Elephas maximus indicus: one gene and its partner. The protein of the gene in region 1 interacts with the protein of each later gene in a biochemical or structural test. Links are inferred from orthologs where the notes say so. Each region holds a gene or a part of one and is shown on either strand. Other genes may lie near its edges.

Evidence for each region. The genes of interacting proteins can lie anywhere in the genome.
Region 2: the proteins of INSR (region 1) and GRB10 form a complex in vitro, tested with the Homo sapiens proteins (5 studies listed by BioGRID and IntAct). The link is inferred for Elephas maximus indicus from reciprocal best matches to the Homo sapiens genes INSR and GRB10.

The regions. Positions count from the first base shown.
Region 1 is NC_064821.1:11,906,395-11,910,627, forward strand, and holds the start of INSR (insulin receptor), read right to left. Parts: upstream 3,138-4,233; 5' UTR 3,127-3,137; coding exon 3,027-3,126; intron 1-3,026. UniProt on the Homo sapiens protein: Receptor tyrosine kinase which mediates the pleiotropic actions of insulin.
Region 2 is NC_064826.1:112,568,606-112,572,838, reverse strand, and holds the start of GRB10 (growth factor receptor-bound protein 10), read right to left. Parts: upstream 2,718-4,233; 5' UTR 2,410-2,717; intron 1-2,409.

The sequences.
Region 1 (4,233 bases):
TCCCCACGTCTTCAAGGGGCATCACATCTCATCTATTTGATAGAATCCTGTTAAACATTACCCCAGGGTAGGGCTGGGGGAGGCTTAGGCACATGGCAGGAATTAGTTACTGAAAGAATGATCTTTGCTTAAGAAATTAGCGCTCTGGGTTCTAATCTCGACTGTGCCACCTGCTGGAGCTCTGGGCAGCTGTCTTTATCTGCAAAACTAAGCCAAGAGCAAACCCGTTCCCGCCAAGTCCATTCCAACTCATAGCGACCCTATAGGACGGAGAAGAACTGCCTGATAGAGTTTCCAAGGAGCAGCTGGTGGATTTGAACTGCCGACCTTTTGGTTGGCAGTGGAGCTCTTTACCACTGCACCACCAGGGCGCCCCTCATCTGCAAAAAGGGATAATAATAGGCCCTACAACTAGCAGCCAAAAGGTTGACAGTTCAAAACCACTCAGAGGTACCACAGAAGACAGGTCTGGCGATCTGCTTCCAAAATGTCACAGCCTTGAAAATCCTGTGGAGCAGTTCTACTCTGCACACATGGAGTCACCATGAGTCGAAATCGAATGGAAGGCAACTAACAACAACAACAACAACAACTTCCCGAGGATGAACTCAGGTTATATACGCACAGCACAGAGAACAGCGCCTGCTAAGTGTCCGCTCTTACTGTTAAGTATTATCTGGCGAACAAGCAGCTCCTTCGGAGGCTCTGTTCCTAGCCCCATTCAAAAAGAAACATTTACTGAACACCTACTGTATGCCAAAGGAGTCCTGCTGGTGTAACGGTTAAGCACTCAACTGCTAACGGAAAGGTTGATGGTTTGAAGCCACCCAGCAGCTCCACAGGAGAAGAGATTTGGCACTCTACTCCGGTAAAGATTACAGCCTAGAAAACCCTACAGGGCAGTTCTACTCTTTCACACGGGGTCGCTATGAGTTAAAATGGATTGGACAGCACCTAACAACCACAGCCATGTGCAAGGCACTGTTCTAGGCTCTGGAAATGTTAACAGTGAACAAAACAGACAAAAAGCCCCTGACCTCATGGAAGCTGTAAATACAGAAAAACCCAAAAACCAAACCCAGTGCCATCGAGTTGATTCCGACTCATAGCGACCCTATGGGACAGAGTAGAACTGCCCCATAGAGTTTCCAAGGAGCGCCTGGCGGATTCGAATTGGCGTCCCTTTGGTTAGCAGCCGTAGCACTTAACCACTACACCACCAGGGTTTCCGTAAATACAGAAAGCAGCAGTAAATCTGAGGCCTGGAAGCCCAGGCACAGATCCACAATTAATTACCAAAGCTAGATGGAACAGAAGCGCGAGGAGCCACACACACACACAAGCGTGCCCAGGCAGAAGTACACACTCATACTCGTGCACATACAAGAAGCCGGGCACAGGTCTAATCACTCGTCTTGGGTTTTCCTAATGAGAACCCAAACCAACTGCGACTCTTCGCAGTCTACCTGGTAGACCTGATGCCTACCAGGTACTCAGGGTCTCGGAGAAACCAAGTGGCACAGCCACTCAGCAAACTTGGTTTGTTACCTTCAAAGCTTATGCTTTCTCATCTACCTCGTTTACATCAGGGAACTCAGGAGCTTCTATGACTTCCCTCTCTAACCCCTTCCCCACCCATGATCTATTTCCTTTTATGGAGATAGGTGAAGAAGTAACCCAACAGATATGTTTAAAGCAGAGCTTTAGACCCCATGGTGGGAAATCCCAATTATATCAGTCCCGGCCCACAAGCAGAGCAAGGAGGATGCTGGGGTAGGGGTTTAGGGCAGCCCATGGGGCCAGGGGGAGTGTGAGGCTCATTAAGGCCAGAGACACTCCCAGGGCTAACAGGGAAAGAACCCTCATGAAGGGTGAAGCTGAGGGGTGGGAAGGGTTTAGGGGACCTAGGGCGAGGGATTGCAAACCAGAGCCTTGACCTGGAATCCCACTGACAGAGGTTCAAGTCCCAGCTCTGGCACTGACTTTGGAGCAGGTGAGTTCTGTGAGCTATCTGAGCCTCAGGTTACGCCTCTGTGAAATGGGGGAATAGCACTATCAGCCTCCAGGGGCCACTGTGAGGGTCCAGAGAAATAAGATGGACCAACCCCAGGCATACAGTGATACTATTTATAACAACCATGATGTATGCCACCCCTAGTTGTTACTACAACGGCTGCAGGTGTTGCCACGGTGCTAGAGTTTGGCTCAGGATATCTGGAAGCAGGACACAAATGTGTAAACGCGGACCGTAGTGGTGGTCACCAGCTTAATCCCAAGGAAATCGGAGTTGTTGTTATGTGCCCTTGAATTGATTTCAACTCATAGCGACCCTATAGGACAGAGTAGAACTGCCCCATAGGGTTTACAAGGCTGTAATCTCTACCGAAGCAGACGGCCACATCTTTCTCCCGCGGAGAGGCTGGTGGGTTCAAACCGCCAACCTTTCTGGTTACCAGGGAGCGCTTAACCACTGCACGACCAGGGCTTCTTGGGAGTCGACGAGGGGTCTACAATTCCCCACCCAGGGGCAGCGCCACCCAGCAGCGGGAACCCCAAAGAACACCGCCCCCCCCCCCAAGTCCGGCACTATCTGCGTTGCATCCAACCGTGTGTGCACGCCAGGCAGGCATTGGGCTGTCGGAGGCCGCCCGAACCTTAGGATCCGACTTCCCAGAGGCGACCCAGCGAGGACGCGTGCCCCGCCTCGGGAGCGCGTCGGGACCGGGGGAAGGGGGAGTGGGGATGGAGGAGCAGGAGTGGGTCCGAGCGCACTCAGGAGAGGCGCCCGCCGCGGGGCGGGCACTGGGGCAAGGTTCCTCGGCCCGGGGCAGGCGCGCGGGGAGCCGAGCCGCGAGCCCGAGCGGGCAAAGGCCAAGGTCAGCGGCCTCCCGCCCCCCGCGAGGTCGACGCGACCGTCCGGGCCACCCGCTCCCGGGCGGGCCCTCGCGCCCTAGCGGGGACTTCATTTGAACAGCGGGGTGCCGTCGGCCGCGATGTCCCCGCCCACCCCCGCGCCCCAGACTCACCTTCTCCAGGGTACAGGTGGCCGGCGGCGCCCACCAACAGCGCGGCCACGGCCACCAGCAGCGGCGCGGCCGCCGCCCCCCGCTGGCCCCCGGAGCCCATGACTGCGGGAGCGCGGGGTCCCAGCAGCTCAGAGCGCGCGGCGCCCAACCGCGAGGGTCATGCTCCGAGCGGCCGCCCGCCCGGGAGGCGCCGGTGGCCGCGCGTCCTCCTCCTCCGCCCGGGAGGGCCCCAGCAACGGCCCGGGAGGGGCGCGCGGCCTCGGCGCCACCAACACAGCGGCGCGGCCCGGCCCCGGCTCGCGGTCCCTGGGCCCGGAGCCCGCGCTGCGCCCCGGCTCCCGGCTGGCGGTCCCGCGCGCCCTCGGCCGCAGGCGGTGGACGCACCGACAGACGGACACTTGGACGGACTGACGGGCGCGCGGCGGCGGCACCTGGGCTGGCGGGCGGCTGGCGGGCGGCGGGCGCGAGGCTGTTCGGCCCGTAAACAACGCGGCCCGTCAGCTGGGCCCCGCGCGGACCGCGGGAAAAGGCGGCGCGGATCACGCCTCGGAAGGGACTCGGCGCCGGGGAGGCAGGCAGAGTGGAGGGGGGCGGAGGGAGGGAGGGGGCGGGGGGAGGGAGGGAGGCCCCGCCCCATCCCGCCCCGCCCCCTCCCCCCGCCCGGCCGGGCTCTGGAGGCCCCCGGGGCTCCCCAGACCGCGCCAGCGGCTCGTGTCCCGGAGCGTGAGGCCGCCCTGGCCGCCCCAGCGAGACACATCTTTGTCTTTCTTGTGCACTTCGGTATTTTGTTCATAGTGCATTTTTTGTTGTTGTTCGTTGGAATTTTTTGTTAATACTGCATTTAGATATTATTTATCTTGGTTACTTGGGTTTGGAGCACGTCCTTAAATTTTGTAGACGAGCGGAGCGCCTCACTCACCTCACCCTAGTCCCAGCCTAGAGCGCGCCAGCCACTCCGATCTCCCCCTCCCCCGAGTCGGGGTGCCCTGGACTCCCCGTCTAGGGGCGGGAGCCACGCCGGGCCTCTGGGGACAGTCACATGCCCGGCGCCCTGTGTGTGCCGCGCGCTTCGTAGTTGTAGTTGGAGAAATGGCGTCTAGGAGAATGTTTCGGAATATCCTGACAGAACAGACCAGGCCCTTGGAGATCCTGGGCTGGGGGTAGGTGGACACGCCTGATTTTCAGTATGCAGACCTGGGGTTCATCT
Region 2 (4,233 bases), on another chromosome or scaffold:
ATAAACACCTACTTAAGTACGTGAGGCATTTTGATTAGTGGCAGAATTCTTGCCTTCCATGCAGGAGGCCCGAATTCGATTCCTGGCTAGTACACTTCAGGCACAGTCACTACCTGTCAGTAGAGCCTTGCGTACTGCTATGGTGTTGAACAGATTTCAGTGGAGCTTCCAGACTAAAGATGGAGTAGGAAGAAAGGCCTGGCGACCTACTTCCAAAATCAGCCAATGAATACCCTACGGATCACAACGGTCCAATCCACAACTTGATCATGGAGAAGGAGCAGGACCAAGCTGCGTTTTGTTCCCATTTGCATGAGTCAGGAGCCAACTGAAAGGCAGCTAACAACTTTTAAGTATACAATGTGAATGGGCTAAAAAAAAATATTGACGGCAGCATGGCAATAGGGCAGAAATCTTGAATGCTTGGTGCCGGGGGCTAAACAAGGGTCACAGGTCCTCCTAGTTGTCCGTGTGACTGAGGGGTGTGCCTCCTCCCTGCTGCCATCACCCTTTTTGAGAGGATGTACTTGTGCAGAAGTATAAAACACACAGGACTAAAAAGAATTCAAGGCTTAGGCTCAGGTACAGCTCTGCCATTTGCTGTTTGGGGACCTTGGGCATACCCGTTAACCTCCTGAGCCTTGGTTTCCACATCTGTAAAATGGGGATCAGGAAGCTGTAGAAGGATTAAAAGCAGCAAGGCTTTTGAAAGTGCCTTGTAAACTGAAATGCTACAGCAGTGTCAGTCGCTACACTTCTCAGTTACACAGGCAATGCTGCTGGGTGTGTGACTTGGTCTGTCCTCAAATCCCCTCCCTGTAATCTAGGGATTGGCCTGTGTGGCCCCTTCTTTCAAATGCTCCTGGTAAAACTCAAACAGTATGTGCAGTAATCCTAGAGTTTTGATTTTTAACAGAACTACTAAGACACCTAGAAGCATTCCTGGAGATACATTTGGTTTCATGGCTTTGACAGAACAACACACTCCCCTAAAAGACATTTCACCGTTGCCACAGACCAGAATTTCTTCTTGCAGAAACCTAGCTCCCACCTATTTTTCCTCCAAGAAAGAAAAGATGAAACTCTTGGTCAAGACTTGGGAAAACTGACTAGCACTGTGGCCCACACCTCGGTCAGTGCTGTGCTGCAGCGCTGACATGTGTTCCTCCTGGTAAAAACTGAGCGAAACGTTAAATACGGCACCGCTTCTGAAACTCAGGAGCTCCAAACGGCTGAATCAGCATTTTCAGAAACAAAGTGTTCTGGGCCTGGCCTTTTAAACAGCAGCAAAGAGAAAGTTGTGCAATAATGCATATTTACTCAAGAGCGCTACTTATTTGGGTTCTTTTCTTTGCATCTCTTGAATGAAACGGGGTACTACATTTGCAGGAAAACATTTCTTAAATGTATCCTAAAGATTCAGGGCCGTGTAAAAGTCACCTGTGGCTCCTCTACATTACCCAAGGTTTCAGTCAAAGCAAACAACAAAAATGTAGCGTTTCTTCCAATCCCGAAAAAAGAAAAGCCGCATAAAAAGTAAATACCCTAATTTCCATAACGCACATGCTTGAGTACCGTCACCAGGCAGGCGTTTGGAGAGGCAATCAGAAAAGGCAGAGCATTGCATCAGAAATTTCCTTCTGCAAACGGTATCGCTCTTATCACATTTCCACGGCTGGCGCGGCGGCTAATCCGCGAGCCCTCAACTTGATGTTAGGCCCAGAAGGGGGTAACGGGGTGACTAACAAAGCCAAAAAAAAAAAAAAAAAAAAATTCCCCGCGGGCCGGAGTCCCAGGCCGCGCAGCGCTCTGGACTTGGGAGTGCCCGTGCACCGCTGACCCCGCGGCTGGCCAGGCCACGAGCGTCGCGGCCCCCACCTCAGTTGGAAGGAGGGGGCTGCAGAAGCGCCCCGCGGCTAGCCCTCCCCGAGCCCGGGGCAGCCCCCCGGGAGCGCGGCCTCGGCCCCCACCCCCACCGCGAGTGCAGCTAGCGTCTGACAAGATGGTTCAAGAATGCACCGTTTGCGCTCAACACCTCCCCCAAGGGGTCGCGAAGGGAGTCGGGAGAGAGCCCCGGGCGAAGCGCCCGGCCGGCTCCAAGCGCGCTCGCTCGCATCCCGAGTCCCCGCCTCTTGGTGCCTCCAGCCTCGGGCCCGGGGCGGCTGAGCCCCCCGCCCGGAGGCGACGCCCTTCCGCCCCGCCCGCGCCTCCCGGGGTGCCCGCCGGCTCTGGCCGCTGCCGGCGAGCGCGCAGACAATGCCGGCGACCGGCCGCTCCCGGCGAACCGGGCCCGGCAGGCCGGCCGGCGAGCCCGGCCCCTCCCGCGGAGGACACCAAGCGACAAAGTAACTTCCCCGCAGCGCTCCCCGCCCAAGTCAGCGGCGCGCGGCCGGCGGGGCCGCTCCATACCTGCTGCGGGCGCCGTTCCCCGGCCGCCTCCGCGTGGCCGCGGGCGACACTCCCGCCCGGTCGGACGCCGCGCTGGGTCTCCCCGCGGGGACTGAGAGAGGCGCGCAGGACCGTCACCCGGTCGGGACCCGCGCCGGCGCCGCGCCGAAGGACTGCGCGAAAACTTTGGCTCCGCCGCCGCCGCCGGTCCTGCGTGGTCACCGCCTGGTCTCCCAGAGCCGTGCCCGACCCCTGCCCGCCCGCGGCGCGCACTCGCCGTCCAGCCGGCCGCCTCCCGGCCCGCCGCGCCTCCAGCTCCTTTGCCTTCCTTCCTCCGTGCCTGCCTTCCCCGCCCCCCCCAATGGGCTTTAAACTCTTCCAGCCCCGCCCGCCCCTCCTCCGCCTCCTCCGCCTCCGCCTCCTCCCCCGGCCGCCTTTCCTGCTCCTCCTCCCGCCACCGCCGCAGCCCGGACCGCTGGGCAGCCGCCACGGCGGGAGGAGCTGTGGCCTCGGCCCGGGCGTGACGCGCAGGGCGTCGGGGCAGAGTAAGGCAGGGGCCTCGGCGGAGCATCCCCCGGGCGGCGCCGGCGGCGTCTGCGCGGCCCGTGCCTGAGGCGAGCGAGGAGGGACAGGCAGCCGTGGATGAGCCCCGGAACCCCCTCCCCCTGCTGCCCTAGGGCCGGGGCGGACGCGGGAACCGAGAGCTAATGAGAGATCGGAACTATTTCAAAAGGCAGTTTGTAAGTGAATGTTTGAAACTCAGGAGTATTAACGATCCAGTCCAAATTCTTCATCTTGGGCGAGTCCAAAATTCTTCATCAGGACGAGACAGATAAATTGCAGCTGCCCGTACTCTGTCGTGGGGATGGCGGTCCCCGGGCCAGGAAAAGGAAACCTGGGTTTCCAGTGTCAGTCATAGTCAGTGGGTTTGCGGCTTTTGCCACTCTGGGCCTCAGTTTCCCATCTGCAAGTGAGTATCAGAGTGGTGATAGAGTGGGAAGACCAGAATATTTCCTTAATGTCGCTTAGCCTGTGTCCTTATCTTTGAAATGGGCTAATAAGAACACAGGCCTCAGAGTCATGGGGGTTAAATGAGGTCATACCCATAACATAAAGTCACTGGCAGGAATGAACCCCCGCGTTGATGGAAACTATTGTCGTTAATATGATTACTTATGTCTATGCTGTCAAAATTATAATACAAAGAGGAAAATAATAATATGTCTTTTTTGGGCCTTAATGTTGTTTTTTAAAAAGCTACAACAGTAACTTACTTTTATTGAACACATACTTTGTGCCAGCACTCATTCATTCTTTCATTCAGTCTGCACCCTGGCCCTCTAAGGTTGTTACTGGGAGCTACCCACTTCACAGACTTGGACACTGAGTCTTGGAGGTACTAAATAATTTGCCAAAGTCCAGGTAGCTGGTAAGTGGCAGAGAAAGAATTCAATGCCATTTACCAGGCCAAAGCACTTTTGAAAACCCATTGTTATCTCATGGTGACCCCATGTGTGTCAGAATAGAAACGTGCTGCATAGGGTTTTTCAGTGACTGATTTGTCCAGAAGTAGATTGCCATGCCGGACAGACACCCTAGGTGCTTCTGGGTGGACTTGAACTTCTGGCCTTTCGTTTAGCAGCCAAATGCCTAACCATTTGCATCACCCAGGGACCCTGAAGCCCTTTTTAGGCACCTTTTAGCATTTGTTTCTGTATTTCTTTTCCTTCTAGTAATGGTTTTTCCCACAGTATTCTGTGTACTAGACTTCTTTTTCTGGAACTGAAACATTTCTACCCATTGGTCCAAGCTCAGAAAGCATTAAGATGAAAATCATGGGAGGAT